Linked DNA regions of Cricetulus griseus. The protein of the gene in region 1 interacts with the protein of each later gene in a pairwise test. Links are inferred from orthologs where the notes say so. Each region holds a gene or a part of one and is shown on either strand. Other genes may lie near its edges.

Evidence for each region.
Region 2: the proteins of Tecr (region 1) and Hacd2 interact in binary tests that used the Homo sapiens proteins (3 or more experiments, as listed by UniProt). The link is inferred for Cricetulus griseus from reciprocal best matches to the Homo sapiens genes TECR and HACD2.

What each region holds. Positions count from the first base shown.
Region 1 is NC_048596.1:160,822,669-160,830,617, reverse strand, and holds the end of Tecr (very-long-chain enoyl-CoA reductase), read right to left. Parts: intron 3,455-7,949; coding exon 3,404-3,454; intron 2,902-3,403; coding exon 2,850-2,901; intron 2,518-2,849; coding exon of another isoform or gene 2,515-2,517; coding exon 2,470-2,514; intron 2,394-2,469; coding exon 2,290-2,393; intron 2,214-2,289; coding exon 2,098-2,213; intron 2,014-2,097; coding exon 1,908-2,013; intron 1,833-1,907; coding exon 1,760-1,832; intron 1,673-1,759; coding exon 1,629-1,672; intron 1,534-1,628; coding exon 1,476-1,533; intron 1,395-1,475; coding exon 1,306-1,394; intron 1,133-1,305; coding exon 1,087-1,132; intron 1,010-1,086; coding exon 882-1,009; 3' UTR 777-881; downstream 1-776. Other genes in the region: Ndufb7 (NADH dehydrogenase [ubiquinone] 1 beta subcomplex subunit 7), read left to right, coding at 153-321, 512-644. UniProt on the Homo sapiens protein: Involved in both the production of very long-chain fatty acids for sphingolipid synthesis and the degradation of the sphingosine moiety in sphingolipids through the sphingosine 1-phosphate metabolic pathway.
Region 2 is NC_048597.1:54,614,164-54,622,860, reverse strand, and holds the start of Hacd2 (very-long-chain (3R)-3-hydroxyacyl-CoA dehydratase 2), read left to right. Parts: upstream 1-3,486; 5' UTR 3,487-3,547; coding exon 3,548-3,702; intron 3,703-6,050; coding exon 6,051-6,168; intron 6,169-8,697. UniProt on the Homo sapiens protein: Catalyzes the third of the very long-chain fatty acids (VLCFA) elongation four-step cycle (condensation, reduction, dehydration, and reduction).

The DNA.
Region 1 (7,949 bases):
CTTCCTTCTGTCAGGACATGGCCATAATCCGAATTGGTTCTGCTAACCCAATGAGGGATACCCTGTATGTGGCTTCATTTGTGCCATGTGCATCCTGGGAGTTGGTGGAGTTGGGGATTGGCTCTGATGCTGAGCCTTACCACTCCCCACAGTAATGGTGGCTACACAACAGGAGATGAACAATGCCCAGCTGACACTGCAGCAACGTGACTACTGCGCCCACTACCTCATCAGGCTGCTCAAGTGCAAGCGCGACAGCTTCCCCAACTTCCTGGCTTGCAAGCATGAGCGGCATGACTGGGACTACTGCGAGCACATGGAGTGAGCCTGCCCTGCCCCTACCCACACCACAAGCACCCACACATGGGCATGGGGAAGAGGCTGGAGCCATCAGAGGGCCAAGCCAGGATTTCAGTGGGAGGCCTCACCCTAGCTAGGGTTTCCTGGTGGCTGGGAATGGGACCAGGTCAGGGCCTGTGGCATTGAGACCTTGTATCTGCTCTGCCAACAGCTACGTGAAGCGAATGAAGGAGTTTGAACGTGAACGGAGGCTGCTCCAGAGGAAGAAACGGAGGGAAGAGAAGGCGGAACGGGTATCCCGGGGCCAGGGAGAAGGAGAGGTGGGCCCTGAGGTGGCCCTCTAGGGTCACCCACCACCTGTGGACCTATCAGTGGAATAAACACTCTGAGTCAACTGTCCAACCTTCATCTGCACTGCCTCAAGGGTGGGGAGGAACGGGTGGCCCTTGGGCCCCTAAAGAACACAAAGCCCAAGACCAGCTGGGTAAGCAGATTTATTGTTGCTGCTAGAGAGCCACGATCACCCCAGGACAGAGGGGCATTGGGTAGAGAGTGCTCCTGGCTGAGCCCATGAGAACTGCTCAGAGCAGGAAAGGGATGATGGGCATGCGCAGGGGTGGGTAGTCACGGAACTCCTTCAGGTAGCTGCGGTGCTTGCCCTTGGCCCAGATGGTCATCTGGGTGAAGCCCACCAAGGAGAAGAGGGCCACTGTGGGCAGAACGGGATATCAGAATAGGGATGCCCAGTCAGAAGGGAAGGGCACTGCACGGGAACAAGGGACTCACCTGGAACACACTGCGTCATGATGGCAAAGCCAATCCAGGACCCCACCTGTGAACAGCACAAGCAGGGTGAGGGCACAGAGGGAAGCCCAGCATCACATGTATCCCTGGGGAAGGAAGGCAGCAGTCTCCCCATATTCAAGCTTTATTACTCCCCACAACCCACCCCTACACTTCACCTCATATAGGACCTCAAATCCAAGAGGAAAAAGGCAGTCTCACCTCGTAAGTGTAGTTGGGACAGGACACCAACAGAAATAGCCAGGTGAAGGGGTTCTTGGTGGGATATGGGATCTTCCTGGTTTTGGACCCTGGCATGCAGGACAAGAGTAAGTCAGATCCCTCCCCAGCCCCAGCCCCAGCCCCAGCCCCAGCCCCATCTGGCCACTCACCAGCTGGCCGAAGGTCCCGAAGAGCCATGTGGATGGAGAAGTTGCCAAGCTGGCAGATCTATCAAGGAGAACAGGATCAGCCCAGAGGCCCCAACCTCACCTCACCCAGCCACCTCACCTCACCACACTTGGTTGCCACCCCAGCCTCTTTACCACAAAGATGGTCAGCGCCAACTTAACCTGCTGGGCTCCGTAGGCTGCAGAAAAGGCAAAAAGAAGGGCCCCATAAGAAGAAGGTTGGTGATGGGGGTCACGGGATGAGGGCACTGTCTGGGCCCACTTACTAGGGGGTGTGTAGAGAGGGTGGTTGATGTAATAGGCCATCCATGCAGCAAAGCCCCAGTAGTAGGTGCAGTTCTGAAAGAGAGCAGATGAGTGAGCCTAGGGAGGGCGGGTGCTGCTGGGCAGAGCAGAAAGAATAAGGATGCTCACTTTGAAGATGTTTCGCAAGGGCATGGTTCCGTGAGAGAAGCGGTGCACGAAGAGGGTCTCCAGCAGACGCTTGACGTAGTGGGATGAGTGGCAGATGCAAGCGAGGCTGGTGGGGCAGCTGATTCAGCTGGGGTTGCTCCAGCCCTCCACCCGCCCCGCCCCCTCCCACTCTCCTGTGGGCCCCACTCACTGCACCACTGTGTGCCGACTGGACGTGAAGTCGTATTTGTGGCCATAAATGAAGGGTACCCGGAAGTAGAAGAGCAAGTAGATGAAAAGGGGCCCAGCATACTCAGTCAGGAAGACCTGGGAGTGCCCAGAGACAAGGTGAGTAACCCCAGGGTGGCTGAAGGCAGAGACCAGGGAAGGGGTCAGGGCTTACCGTCACCCAGCTGATCTGTGCCCCCAGGTCCCGGAAGAAGAGTGTGGCTGTGGTGCCCACAGGAAGCTTCTGCAACACATCTTCATCTTTCAGGGACTTTCCCTCTACAGAAATCAGTCAGTATTCAGATGCTGCCCTGGGTTTCTGACCCCAAGAGCCCAAGGGAAAGGCTGTACTCACTGGGGTCCAAGCGGAGGGACTGGCGGGCAGGGTACCACTGCGGGTCTGCTAGGAGAAGGTGAGGTTGCAGCACCCAGTCTGGCTGGGTTCAGCCTGCCCATCGTAACCCAGCCTGCCTCTCAAGGTTCCCAGAATTCTGGGACCCCCGGCTCTTCCCACCCTATGCAAGAACACACCCAAACAGCTACAGATTTTGTCCTTTGAATAACGCAAGAGCATTCCTGCAGGTGGCCACACGGGGGCAGCCTGCCCAGTCAGAGGGGCCCCATTCCCTGCTCCAGTGTGCTGACAGGCCCTCTCTACAAGTCCCTAAGGAAGCCCAGGTCTCTCATCCAGAGGGGTGACAGGAGTGGGGATAGAAGTGTAGGGCCTGCACTCACGCGTCTTGGTGAAGAGATTCTTGATTTCAGCAATGGTGGCCTGAGGCTCCACCTGAGAGAAAACAGACTATCAGTCCCAAAGGAGCCCCAGATCTGGGACAGGGGTGCCAGGCACAGGCGGTCAGGATCACGCCAGCTGGCTTCAGCAGGGTGTATCTGTCTTCCACCTCCTTCACAGACACAGGGTCCTTCCAGGCTGCCTTATCCCTTCCCCTACCAGGCAGCCAGCTCCCAGCCCTATGCAGGGGTCACGATTACACGTTCTAGCTCAGTGGTTCTCAACCTTCCTAATGCTGTGATCCTTTAATAAAGTTCCTTGTGTTGTGGTGACCCCGAGCAAAAAATTATTTCCTTGCTATTTCACATCTGTAATTTTGCTACTGTTATGAATCACAATAGAAGCATCTGATATGCAGCCCCACAGGGGTGGAGACCACAGTTTGAGAACTGCTGCTCTAGATGAAGGCAATACCCCTTGTGTGCCCTCTGAAGGACAAGGGGGCCACCAATGTCTGCACAGCCCTACAACTTCACCACCAGGGTCACAGTCCTACCTTGTCCAGGAAGCACAGCTTCTCCCTCGTCTTCGCATCCAGAATTTCCACCTCAAAGAAGAGAACCGCCTTTTTATGCTTCTTGGCTATCTTGTGGGGCACGGGCATGGGAAGACCATCGAGGCCTTGGTGGGCCTCCTTGGCCACCATGCTCAAGCTGATATCCATGCCACTGTCGGCCCTACTGCTCTGCCTACCAGGCTGTGGCGCCCACTGCCAGCCACCAGCCCCCACCTCCGACCTCCCCTCACAAAGCTGCTCTGAGCTGGGCTGGGCAGCATGATGAAACTCTGCCTCGGTGCTGGAAAGGAGCCTGTGTCTGACCAGACCCAGCCAGCTTCAATGCCAGATGTAACCCGAGTGGCACCAGGGCCCGGCCCGGCCCGGCTAAATATAAAACCATCCCAAGTTCCCCCGAAGGAGCCACACCACAGTCCTCCCCTGGGGGCTACCCTCATAGAAGCAGCTGAGTGGACACTGGGCCTCAAAAGCGCCAGGGACAAGAAAATCTCCCAGAGATGGGAAAAAGCACACAGCCAGTGGCAGGGGTGGCTAGCCCAGGCCCAGTGCCCAGCTCTGGCTGACAGGTTACTGGACCTGGGGAAATGCCAGCTGTCTAGAGAATCTGAGAGACAGATCATGCATTGCCACTTCTAAGCTGTAAGGGACACTGGATTATTTCCCTTGTGCATTTGTGTTCCCAGAGAGGTGACAAATTCCAGAGTTATCGGTGCACAGTTCCTTTTCTAAGTATGGAGAGGAAAGAGTGAGCAAGGTTCTCCACCCCTCTCCTCATTCTCAACAGTTCCACCCACACCTGCTTCAAAACCACCTGCATGGCAGTCTACCACATCAGGCCAACATCAATGTGCTCACCTCACCCATGGATGAGTCTCGCTGCAAAGCCTTCAACACACAACCCAGGCCTGCCGATACCCCTAGGGTCCACAGTCTCCAAAGGAGAAATACCCAGGCTAGAGCCACTCAGTGGTGCAAAGGAACAGAGTAAGAAAACAGCCCCAGGAGATCTGAGCCACCTGTCCCAGAAGGTCAGAGAAGGCTGCTGACATGATGGTCTGCACTGTCCATAGTAGCTGGGAGAGGCCTGGGGGTCCTATGGGGATCTGTGACTTCTCATTCTCAAGGATGGGGACATCACAGGCCAGAGAAGCTGGTCACTGCCATCTGCATGCTCCAAAGAGCAGAGGCTAAGATAGTCCTAGGGTCTGACCCCAGGCCTGGCCTGCTAGGGGTCCCTGAGAGGATGTGCATGAACCAACATGGTGCTGGCACAAGGGAAGTATGTGCGTGTGTGTGTGTGTGTGTGTGTGTGTGTGTGTGTGTGTGTGTGTGTGTGTGTGTGCGCGCGTGCGCGCATGTGTGCATGTGTGTATGTGTGTCTGTGGCCCCACAAAAGTGACTACCTGGTGATTAGGTAGGGAGGCCCCATGGAGGTGACCCTACACAGTGAAGCAGCCCTGCAGGGCCTAGGCCTGGATTCAGAGCAAGGCTTCTATGCCAGCCAGTGGCACCCAGGCCTGCTTGCCCATCTATGCCAGAGCCTACATCATGGACACAGCGCAGGAGAGAGTACAGAAATCACTTGCTATCCACTGCAAACTCAGCTTCACCCTGTGGCCTGAGGGGCAAATGACTGAACCACATAAGGACAGTATCAGACCAGAAACGAGAGAGAATGAATACATGAGGAATGGGCTAGAAGGGGCTTGGTGGCAGGGCTCTGGGCTGCAGATATATTAATACTGCTCCCCATAAGCACTGTGCTCATGCTCAGTGTCCATGTGAATCACAGGAAGGCGGCACAATGTCCACTGGGAGAGAAGGCCACGGAGTTCCTGCTGAACCACTCAACAGCTTAAAATACAACCAGCCCCTCTCCCTACTGGGCCAGCTGCTGGGGAGGGCTGAAACCCTACCCTCTCCCCCAGCTGGGGCTCTGCAACAAGGCCAGGAACCCTGATGCACCAACTGGCTACAAGAGAACAGCATGGAGGGGCCACACTGAACAGCAGTCCCCAAGCCACAAGGAGAGGGAGGAGCTGCCGGATCCAGGTGAGCGAGCGAGCGAGAGGCCTCCCACGCCCTGCCCAAGCCCCAGATCCCCATAGCCATCTTCTCCCAGTGGGCCAGAGGCCATTCTTGCTGTGATTTTTGCAACTCCCTAACCCTCTAGAATTATGTCAAAATCAAAAGCAAGATAAAAGTTATGTTAAGCATAGCAAGGAGGTTGGCTGGGTGAAAGATGCCAGACTTTCAGGACAGGAGTGGCCAGGACCAGACCAGGGCAGACAGCAGCCTGCTGGTGCCCCCACAGGGTACAGGCTGAGGCGGCAGCAGGGGGAGATTCTAAAGGATAGCTGCTCTTTGTGGGTGATGCAAAAGTGTCAGTCACAGATGTGGGGCTGCCCAATGAAATGTGCTGAATGTCACTGGCTGTATACTTTCAGGGGTAGGGGTGGTACTCAGGGGTGACACAGCAGGGTCTGACTCTTTAGGCCAGGATAGCCTTAAACTCAAAACCCTGTCTCAGCTTCCCAAGTGCTGAGGGATTAGTTGTCTACCACACCAACTTCAACTGTGCACTTTTACTTACAGTCACAGGAACCACACTCCAAAAGCTCTGGGACTGTGTATTGGGGCTCTCACATTGTGAGGCGGGTACTCTACCACTGAGTTACACCCCAGTCCCCACAGGCAACAGACAGGCAAAGTGTCCAACAAAAAAAGAAAAGACAACACAGCTCCAGGGAACAGGCAGGGTCTCCACTGTCCAGACCAAGGAGACTGGGGAAAATCTACGTGTACCTCTTAAACCGTGGTCCTCACTGCACTCAACCACTACCATCTCCACCCCTGCCTGTACCTGTCCCAAACACACACACACACACACACACACACACACACACACACACACACACACACACACACACACACAGTCAGCCTAAAATACAACCCTGAAGGGTGCCCAGGTCTAGGGTCAGAGAGCACCAGGGGTCCTGAACACCAAGGGCAGGGAGCCAGCAGCCTCTGGCCCCTCCTGGGGAGAAAGCAGCACAGCTGAGCTAAGGAAGGGAACCCTCATACGCAGACAGCTATAGATGTGATCGCTACAGATGAGGGTGGCCCAGAAGGATGATCTGAGTTCCTAGGCTTGGGGAGGGGGACACCCCCTGCTGAGAGCACAATGGACGGTGTCAAAGACAAGGGCAGGAACCCTAGCACAGGGCACCCAAACTGGTTCTACGATGACAGTTCCACTAGTCTGTGAAGAATTCTCACCCAGAGACTGAGATAACAAGGCCTGGCCCAGCCAACAGAACTCCTGCTAGCCCAAGGTCAAGGACAGCAAAGCAGACTGAGAGGCAGGAAGCAGCCAACCCTAAAGAAGGATGGGGGGCTGGCCTTGGCACCCACTGCGGCAAGATCAAGGTTGGTGCAGCCTGTTCCTTGTTCTGAGACTGGGAGGTAGCACTCTTGAGGTTGTCCCAGCCAGGCAGGGAGCCCAAAGACAGAGAAGCATGTCCTGCATCACCATTACAGGGCTCCTGCCTCCCTCCTCGGGCTACTGGCCACATCTCATCCACCACCAACTTTAAAACAGCAGTCCCACCAGGCACAGTGGCAATACTTGCGACCCTAGCACTCAGCAGATGGACTCAGGATCAGGCATTCAGAGATAACCCTAGCAACATGCAAAGTTTGAGGTCAGTCTAAACTATGTGAGACCTTATCTTCAAAAAAGAATTTATGGCTACAAGTAGTACTCTAGTTACAGCCTGATCCACTGCCCCCTGGCAGTATACTCAATATAACTATTGCTTAAGAAAAAATTAAGAAAGACCCAGGAACCCTTCCACCTGTCCTGGGCCTGGCTGTTTTCTATACCCAGAGTGGTCCCAGGTAGAGCACAACTAGAATAACCCTAGGTAAAAGGTCACCAGTATCGGGCCTGAGGTCCTCTCACAGCTCCCCCTTGTCTGGCTGCTCCTTCACCTCTCCAGAAGCCTCGTTCTGCCCCAGACCACATCAAAGGCAGCCATGTGGTATGAGGCCCCTGGTCCCTGGGTGTTTCTAAGCCTACACAGCACTCTGGGCTACCAGGCCTTACACCCCTGGTTCTGAGGCACCCTACACTGAGCATGGTCAGCTCACCAGGCTCCACCCCTCATAGAAACTGGAGTATCCCTCAATGGCTCCAAGAGCCGATAGGCTCTGCATGGCCTCTAGGTGGCAACACACATTTCGTGGAATGTAAGCTTAAAAAAGAACACTTCCCATCTATATGGCCCTTGACAAATTATTTATTTCCTTAGCATCAAGCAGGGCTCTTTCCAACTGCCACTTCCCACAGTTAGTGTGGGAATTAGATTAACAAAAAAAAAAAGAAAAGAAAAGAAAAGAAAAGAAAAGCATGGGAACATTTAAATATCTCCCATCTAGAATAAATGCTACCAAAAGTAAACACGGGGCAAGGCATGGTGGCACTAGGAGGTAAAGACAGGAGCATCAGAAAATGGGAGGCCAA
Region 2 (8,697 bases), on another chromosome or scaffold:
GATAGGTGGGAACTAGGAGTCAAGGAGGATTCTGGGAAATGTAGTAAAGAGAATGTAGTGATGTAGTGATCCAGGCAGGAAGTGGCATAGCAGGCTGACTCAGAATATAAGCAGGGACAAGAAGGAAATCGCTCTCTTCCTCTTCTTCCTCCTTTCTTCTCTGGAGCTGCCATGTGAGCCTGATGAGAGAGGACACATGCCACTGGCATCCTCGATCAGATAAGTCTTTATAAATATATAGATTATGGCTATGGTTAATACTTAAGACAGAGCACGCATGTGAGAAATCCTAGTCATTAGCCAGCAGCTAATAGCATTTGTACCTAATATAAGTCTCTGTGTGTTATTTCAGGCACCCATGTGGCAGTGGGGCTCGGGCAGTTGTCATAAAGACTTTTCGTTACATAAATCTGTCTCCTTTATTTTGGATCAGTTACCTGATTCATTTTGCTCATGAGTAGATTAATCAATCAAAAAGTGTCTACCTAAAACATGCTGTGGTGGTTTTAATAAGAATGCCTCCCCTATTCATATATTTGGATGTTTACTCACCAGAGAGTGATGTTATTTAAAAGGATTAGAAGGTTTAAGAGGTGTGGCCTTGTTGGAGGAATTGTGTCACTGGGGGTGAACTTTGAAGTTTCAAAAACCCATGCCAAGCCCAGAGTCAGTCTCTCTCTCTCTCTCTCTCTCTCTCTCTCTCTCTCTCTCTCTCTCTCTCTGCCCATGGACCAGGGTGTAGCTCTCAGCTACTGCTCCAGTGCCATGCAAGCAAGCCCCCTATTAAATACTTTCTTCCATTGCTTTGGTCATGGTGTTTCTTCACTGCAATAGGATAGTGGCTAAGATACATGGTAATTACCTATCCCAACACCCTTTAAAACTAAAGGCACAACAATAATGGTAACTAAGCTATTTTACTGTCAGCTGATTACAATATCATGTTCTGGAAACCACTGTAGTTCCTGAAGGTCTCCAGTCATTGTCCTAATACTGTAGTCACTGTGGATCCAAGAACAGAAGAGCCTTGCAGACAAACCATTCTACCATGAGAGTACCCTGTGAACAATCTTCTCATAGCTTATCTTCTCAATAGATATGACTCTTCCTCCTACTTTACTGAACCTGAACTGAGGCAATGATCAACGTAATCCCACATTGGCCAAGATTACTTATCTATGAATACTTCTTCCCTGTGTTCTAGTTCTTCTTCTGTTTATATCTAAGGCTTGTGTCAGTGCTCCAAAAATGAACTTGCACCCATTGATCTGTATTTCCCAATGTAGCCACACTGGTTAATCTCTTTTCTCTGTTCTTCATAATTACTCATCATTATCGTGTGTGTATTGGGATGGGTGGCTCTGAACAAAATGTTGGCACTTAGATCCAGGGCTTATTACCTAAGTCTCCAGTAACAAGACCAAAGGGACAAGTGAATAATAAACAAACTATTCAGATTAAGGTCACACTGAACTTCTTACACTTTATCTTAACTGTCATTAAAAACCATTTAAATGCCATAAGGGAACAGGATGAGAGAAGTAGTAGATGCAAACAAATTTGTACTTAGAAAAGATCATCTATACTTTGCAGAAGTGATGGGGTTGTATAAAAATGACGACAAGAAGATACACTAAGTTTTAAGTTGATTTCCAATTTTATGTGTTTGTGCCTCCTACTTCCCCATTAAGTATATTATATTGGAAAGAGAATCAATTAAATGAATGAGAGAAGCTTTTAGGTGAATGATTATTCTGCAAATAGTTCACTTCTTTATGAGAAAGGGGAAAGGTTTTGTTGCACTTTTGATCTCCCTTTAAAAAAAAAGATTTATTTGTTTATTTATTTTAGGAATGTTTTGCCATCATGTATATATATATTCTAAGTGTGTTCCTGGTGCTTTTGTAGGTCAGATGAGGCTAATGGATTCCCTGAAACTAGAGTTCGGGATGGTTCTGAATCAACATGTGTATGCTGAAAACCAAACCTGTTCCTTTCTCCCTGCCTTGTTCTTTAAGGAAACCAGGAAAAACAAGGCCACAGGAGGTCTTACAATCTTGGAGAACAGTAAGGGATGAGAATTTAACAACTGCTCAGTTTCTCCCTCTCAGTTTTTGGGGGTCTCATGGTTTTAAATTCTATAATCATCCTGATACTCTCAAATCTCCGTCTCTCTCTCTGTCTCTCTCTCTGTCTGTCTCTGTCTCTGTGTCTGTCTCTGTCTCTCTCTCTCTCTCTCTCTCTCTCTTTCTCTCTCTCTCTCTCTCTAACCTTCCTGTCTTCCTGAACCTCGGAGTCTAAAATTAATTGTCTTTATTCTTCCAAGCTGTCCCAATGTCTCTTCACCTTCCATTCAAATCTAATGCACTGTCTAAACATTTTATGAACTGTAATAAAATATTCTGAAAATTCAGTGTTCATCACTTTACTATCATCATGACCTGGGTTATTGTAATAGTTTTCTAATTGATACCACTTTTCACCAACTAATGCATATTTATTCGTGTCTAGCTCCTTCTGTGTAATCTCTGGGCGACTGAAGACTTTTTGTCTTTTTCCATTAGTGTTATAAACTCTAATACAACCTTGTAGATGCTCCATAAATATTTCTTGGAATCAATACATATTTTATTGCATTACGTAAATAGTTACTATTTATGGGGATGCTTGGTTGCATGAACACGGATGCCAAGGTAATTTGACGAAGAAACTCCTAGAAAAAGGAGTGGTGTCAGCAGATAAAAGCAGTTTCTAGAAGTTGTTTCTGTTTTCACTCAGTAGGAGAGTTTCCCACCTAGACCCTGTGGGTATTAACAACTCTTTACACCTCACATGGTCCTCAACTAACCACCGAAGCACCTTAAATCCTGCGTCACAAAAATCAGGCCTATGAATGGAGATGAACTGCCTAACTGTTAGCGACTGCTGGGAGTCTCCACTGTACAGTGCAGGTTAACTAAAAATCAAAAGACAAGGAAGAACCTGTTGAAGACTGGTTCCCCAACTTGGCTACAGTTAGAAGAAAAAGATACGTGTTGCAAAAATGCTGGCTCCTTCTGATCTCTTGACAGGATGGAAGCTTAACTGACGTTAATCGCCCTAATCTAAAATGATAACTTCTTGGGCAATTGTGTGAAGACATGGCACCTGGGAGAGGATTAGAAGAAATAGGGACTGGGACACATCCTTTGGATCCAGTAGGATGGTAAAGAGACAAATTACGCGTAAGACCAGGCCTGGAACAACGTGAGGCCCAGAGTCACATTAACCTAGTTAAACATGGAGTTGGACACCGACACCGACAGCGTGCCGGAAGTGGGAAAGAAATTACCCCCATCCAACACGGGGACAGTTACCGAGACGAGCCCACAGGCGGGAGCTCCTAGAGCGTCTTTGCCCTCATCCAAGATGGCGGCCCCGTGGGCGCTGTCCCGGCTCCGCCCCGTGCCGCGGCCCCGCCTCTTCTTCGCCCCTCCCTCCGCCCCCTCGCAGTCTCCAGCCGGGTCTGAGGTGCAGGCGCGAGGAGAGCGGGCTGCAGGCGCTTGACATGGCGGCAGTGGCGGCGACTGCGGCGACCAAGGGGAATGGGGGCGGCAGCGGCCGAGCCGGGGCCGGCGAAGGCGGCGGCACGCGGAAGAGGAAGGGCCCCGGGCCTGTGGCCACGGCGTACCTGGTCATCTACAATGTGGTGATGACGGCCGGGTGAGGCTGCGCGCGGGGAGGCGGGGAGCGAGCTCTGCGGCCGGGCGGCCAAGTGTGGGAACCCGCACCCGGGGCCGCCGCGGTGCGGAGCGCGGGGAAGGCTGGCCCGGGGCCGCCTGGGCAGGGCCTCGCCGGGGCGGGCGAGCGGGCTGGCCACAGGTGCGGGTCGGGTCGGGGCGCAGTGGAGGGGAGGCCAGCCCGGGCGGCCGGTCACGAGCCGCGGCGTGGAAGCAGCGCTGGCTGCGGAGACCATTCATTTCAGCGGTGGTTTTCAAAACCCGGGCAGAGCTTTCATCTCCGAGGGAGTGGGAAGGCGTTCAAAGTTTTTGGCCAGCCACCCGAGTCGGAGCTGTCCGATGGCCGGATATAGACTTCCTAGACAGGACTGGGGCAAGTTGAGGTTGGGAGAGTATCGACCCTCAAAATGGTTTTGCCCTATTGCAGTCTGTCCCTTAATAGCAGGGTTTTAGTTCTAGTTCTCACACAACTTGCCGTGTGACTTTGAATGAATCTGCTGCTTTCTCTGGGCCTCTGGATTTTTTTTTTTTTTTTTCCGGTTAGGTGGAATTGGGCTAGGTGAATCCAGTTTCGAAATCCGGTAGTTTTGGTGAGGTGGATCACAATATAAATTGTTAGGAAATTTCTAAGCTGTGAAACACATTTTCTTACTTTTCCTTTCTTTGCTTTTTTTTTTTTTTAGATCTAGAGAGCTCTTCATGTAGTCTTGGTTGGCCCAGAACTTGTGATCCTCCTGTCTCTGTCTTCTGACGTTGGAATTAGTGGCCCGTGACACCACTCTAGACTTCCTAGCATTCATTCCTTTGTTTATTTACTGGTCCTGGAATTGAACCTAAGGCCTCACACTTGCACCCATTCTTCTCTGCTATATCCCTACCACTGTAGCTATTTTTTAGGTAAAGCTTTCAAATATACAGAAAAGAATTAGTAATATAAATGGGAGCTATTTTTTAGGTAAAGCTTTCAAATATACAGAAAAGAATTAGTAATATAAATGGGAGGTGTTGAAACATACGCTCAGGTTGTGCATGGTGGATCTCTGAGTTCAAGGCCATCCTGAGTGAGTTCCAGGACAGCTTCATTATGGAATTTAATAGGGGATCCTAGGGCCTAATATTTGTTTTTGAGATGGAAAATGGAGCAGAAAAGTAATGTTCACAACTGTATGTTCCTGTGCTTTCTTGTTTCATGTTTTTCTAATCAATAAGCCTATTGATCTCTTTTCTCATTTGGTTTTGGGAAATTTAAAACTGTTGTTTTTCAAAGGCAACTTTTTATTCATATTCCATAGGTGATTTAGGTAAGAAAGATTATATATGGACATATCCCACTGAGACACTTGTGAAAATAGTTTTTCCAGTCTTACTATTATTATTAAAGCCCCTTTAATAGCACAGTTGAAACCCGAACACTTTGTTCCCCCTTAGACATTCTGGGATCTGATTTAACTGCACAAAGACTATGTTAGGTTATTCCATTTGTATTAGTCTTGTTCTTAGCAGATATATTTACCGAAGAACCAAGTTCCAGATGAGTGAGGTGCCACTGTGTAATTTTATTTTAACAGGATGCTGTAGGTGGTGTAACACTTATTCGTGCTACAACTTGGCCTTTGGGAGCTATAGTTGGCGTGTCCATCACTTTTATACCACACTTGAAATAATCCCATTACAAAGAAGGAAGGTTTGTTTTGGTGCACAGTTTTGGAGGTCCAGTCCTACAGCTGAAGGACCTCCTTGTGTTGGGCCAAGTGACAAAGCAGGAACAGAACTGTTCACCTTGTAATCATGCCACAAAAGAGGAAGAAAGAGGATCAGGATTTCACAATCTTCTTTCAGGGCATGTCCCCAGTAACTTACTTCTCAGTAGGCCTCACCTCTCAAAGGTTCCACCACCTCCAAGTAGTGTCACTTTGGGGAGCATGCCCTTCACATGGGTGTGGGGTGGGTAGTAGCATTAAAGCAGTGACTCTCTACCTTCCTAACACTTTGACCCTTTAATACAGTTCCTCATGTTGTTGTGAGCCCTAACCATAAAACTATTTTTGTTGCTACTTCAAACTGTAATATTGCTACTGTTATGAGTTGTAATGTTTTCTGATGGTCTTAAGCGACCCCTGTGAATGGATTGTTTGACACTCAAAGGGGTCTCAACCTTAAAGCCAAACCATTGCAATTGATAAATCCAGTATTCTAGGATTTTTTTTTAAATAAGTTATGCTTTTACTATATCTTTTTTTTTTTTTTTTTTTTTTTTTTTTTTTTTTTTTTTTACTATATCCAACTTAGGTTTTGTTCTCTCTCCTAATTGCACTTTCTCTTTTTTACTAGGTGGCTGGTGATAGCAGTTGGGCTTGTGAGAGCATACCTGGCTAAGGGCAGCTACCACAGTCTTTATTATTCAATAGAGAAGCCTTTGAAATTTTTCCAAACAGGAGCCTTACTGGAGGTACGTTTTGAGATTTTTGTCACTAATCTCAAATGTTATAAAGTAAAAAAACATGCTGTTATTATGATAAAATATATTGAAATTGCCTTATCCTTGTTGAGTTTGCTTTAAATTTGGAAATTTTGTTTTATGAAATCAATGCCTCAACTGTCTTTGAAATTCCAAAAAAATTTAAAATTCCACTTTCTATCCAGCTGTTATAGGAAACAAATGACTCAAGCTTGTATTAGGATTTTGAAAAATTCTAGGAATGCCCTAGTGAAGTGTTGACAAACTCATGCTTTCAGGGTCCATATAGCAGGGATTGCTGTAACAGGAATGGTGAGTGTCATTGGTGATGATAGTATGTTAGTAATAGATTGGAAACACAGCAGTACCTGCCCAGAGACATCCAAATCTAAAATTATTAACAAAGGCTTTGAAGGACAGTAGAGATTCTCAGTGAGACTGTTGGTTCTGGGCTTATCTTAGTCCTCTTTGTTGAATCAGTGTAGTTCAGGTTTTGAGTATAATTGGATTTTTGAGTTATGTCTGACAGAAAAAAATCCAGCTCAAAGAATTTTAAGAATAAAGAAATCTTCTGGTCTGAAGCTGATAAAGATATAAAGTTATGGGCTGGAAGGATGGTTCAGAAATTAAGAGCCCTGGCTGCTCTCTCGGAAGACCTGGGTTCAATCCCCAACACCCACATGGTGGATCACAATTGTCTGTAACTCCAGTTCCAGGGAATCTGACACCCTCTTGACCCCCGAGGGCACCAAGAATACATATGCAAAAACACTCATAAAAGTAAGTTAGTAAAATAATCTTCTAAAAAGATAAAAGGTTAACTGTCAAGATGAAAGGAACCAGCTCAGGACTGAGAACCAGTGATTTTGACATTAGAACTGTTTCTCTTAGGCTCTACTGTTGTAGACATCCTTTATGTGGTGGGGAGGGGGTTGGTTTTTCTGAGCGTCTGTATCAGGTATAGTTCTAGGAAGGATTCTGGTTGGCCCTGTTTGTTCCAGCTTGATCAGCAGGCTTAGAGCACGTGCCTGTTCTTCTGGCCAATGGACTATAGATTTTGGTAGTGGAAAAAGAGGCTGAGATTATTTAGGGTCATACAAAATCAAAAGCTGCATAGTTGTAGTGAAAAAGCTTTGAGTAGTATAGAAGACAAGATGGGCAATTTATTTCCCTTATTCTCGAGGGCAAAAGCAGCATGACGATTGTGTCTCAGTGGCAATTTAAAATCCAAACTAGGGAATAATGTTTAAGATCTCCAGTTCTCACCCTGACTTTTAAAAGCAAAAAGTTGTAGCTTTTGTTTCTGCTTTTTTCTCTTAGAAAGTAAGCTCTCTCCACTCTTGCGCCTGTCAGGGGTGCTGTGATTTGAGCATCCCCTGAGTACCTATGCTAGCCGTGCTGCATTGACCAGCACAGCCTGCAGATTGGTCTTTTATCCCTTGGCCACCTTTTTGACTTGGAAAACAATTAGGCTAGAACTGATTTCTAGTTTCTTCCTGTTCAAATACTATGAATCCCAGAAAAATAGCAGATTCTTGTTGCAGGCTTTCTTGGACTGCCAGCCCTCCAGATCATGACATGGAGACTTATTACTAATTATTAATGATTGGCCTTAGCTTAGGCTTGTTTCTAGCTAGCTTTTTGGTTTTCCTTTTAACTTAAATTTACCCATTTCTGTTAATCTACATGCTGCCCCAAGTCTCATTTACCTTATCTAGGTACTGCCCATCCTGCCTTCCTGCTTCCTTTTTGACTGGCTGATTGGCTCCCCTTTTCTCAATTCCTGTTAGCCCCACCTGTCCCTCCTCTGCTTAGTTATTGGCTGGTCAGGTTTTTATTTGACCAATCAGGTGCCTTAAGCATGCAAGGTGAAATAGCAAAACACTTTTCCATAGTTAAACAAATACAGCATAGACAAATGCAGCACACCTTTACATATTTATTTTGCAACACAATGTAATACATCTTTACATCATTAAACGAATATTCTATTCCACAACAGATTCTAGTGTGAATCATTTTTAAGTTTAGTTCCAGGGATTCCTCGAACCGGGAAGAAATATAAGTAGCATTCTTTTTAATCACCTTGTCACACACAGTTCCCTCAGCTACAGAGAAGCACATCTGAGATCAGGGCCATCAGAAACTGCCTCAGTGCCTGATGTAGGAGGGGTTACTCAGGGTGAAAACATGACCTCGATTTTAAGGGGATTTCCTTGAGGATTTTGTAATATATAAGTATAATTTTAAAAAATTAAGTATGTCTTAGAGAAGGTAAGTCTCCAGAGCCAAGTCTTAGACTTTGAAGGATGATTGGCCTGATCATCTCTGTTGAATTTTTAATAGGGATTTAAGAAATTAAATTTTTTTTATCTTTGTCAATCTCCACTAAAATGTTACTACATGACAAATCCTGGATTTGGTTTTAGGAAAAGACTGCGCCCCTAAAATGGAAAAGTCTTTCAACCCACCCACCCCTAAGAGAGAAAGAGACATTAAAAAGGACTGTGTACAGTGATG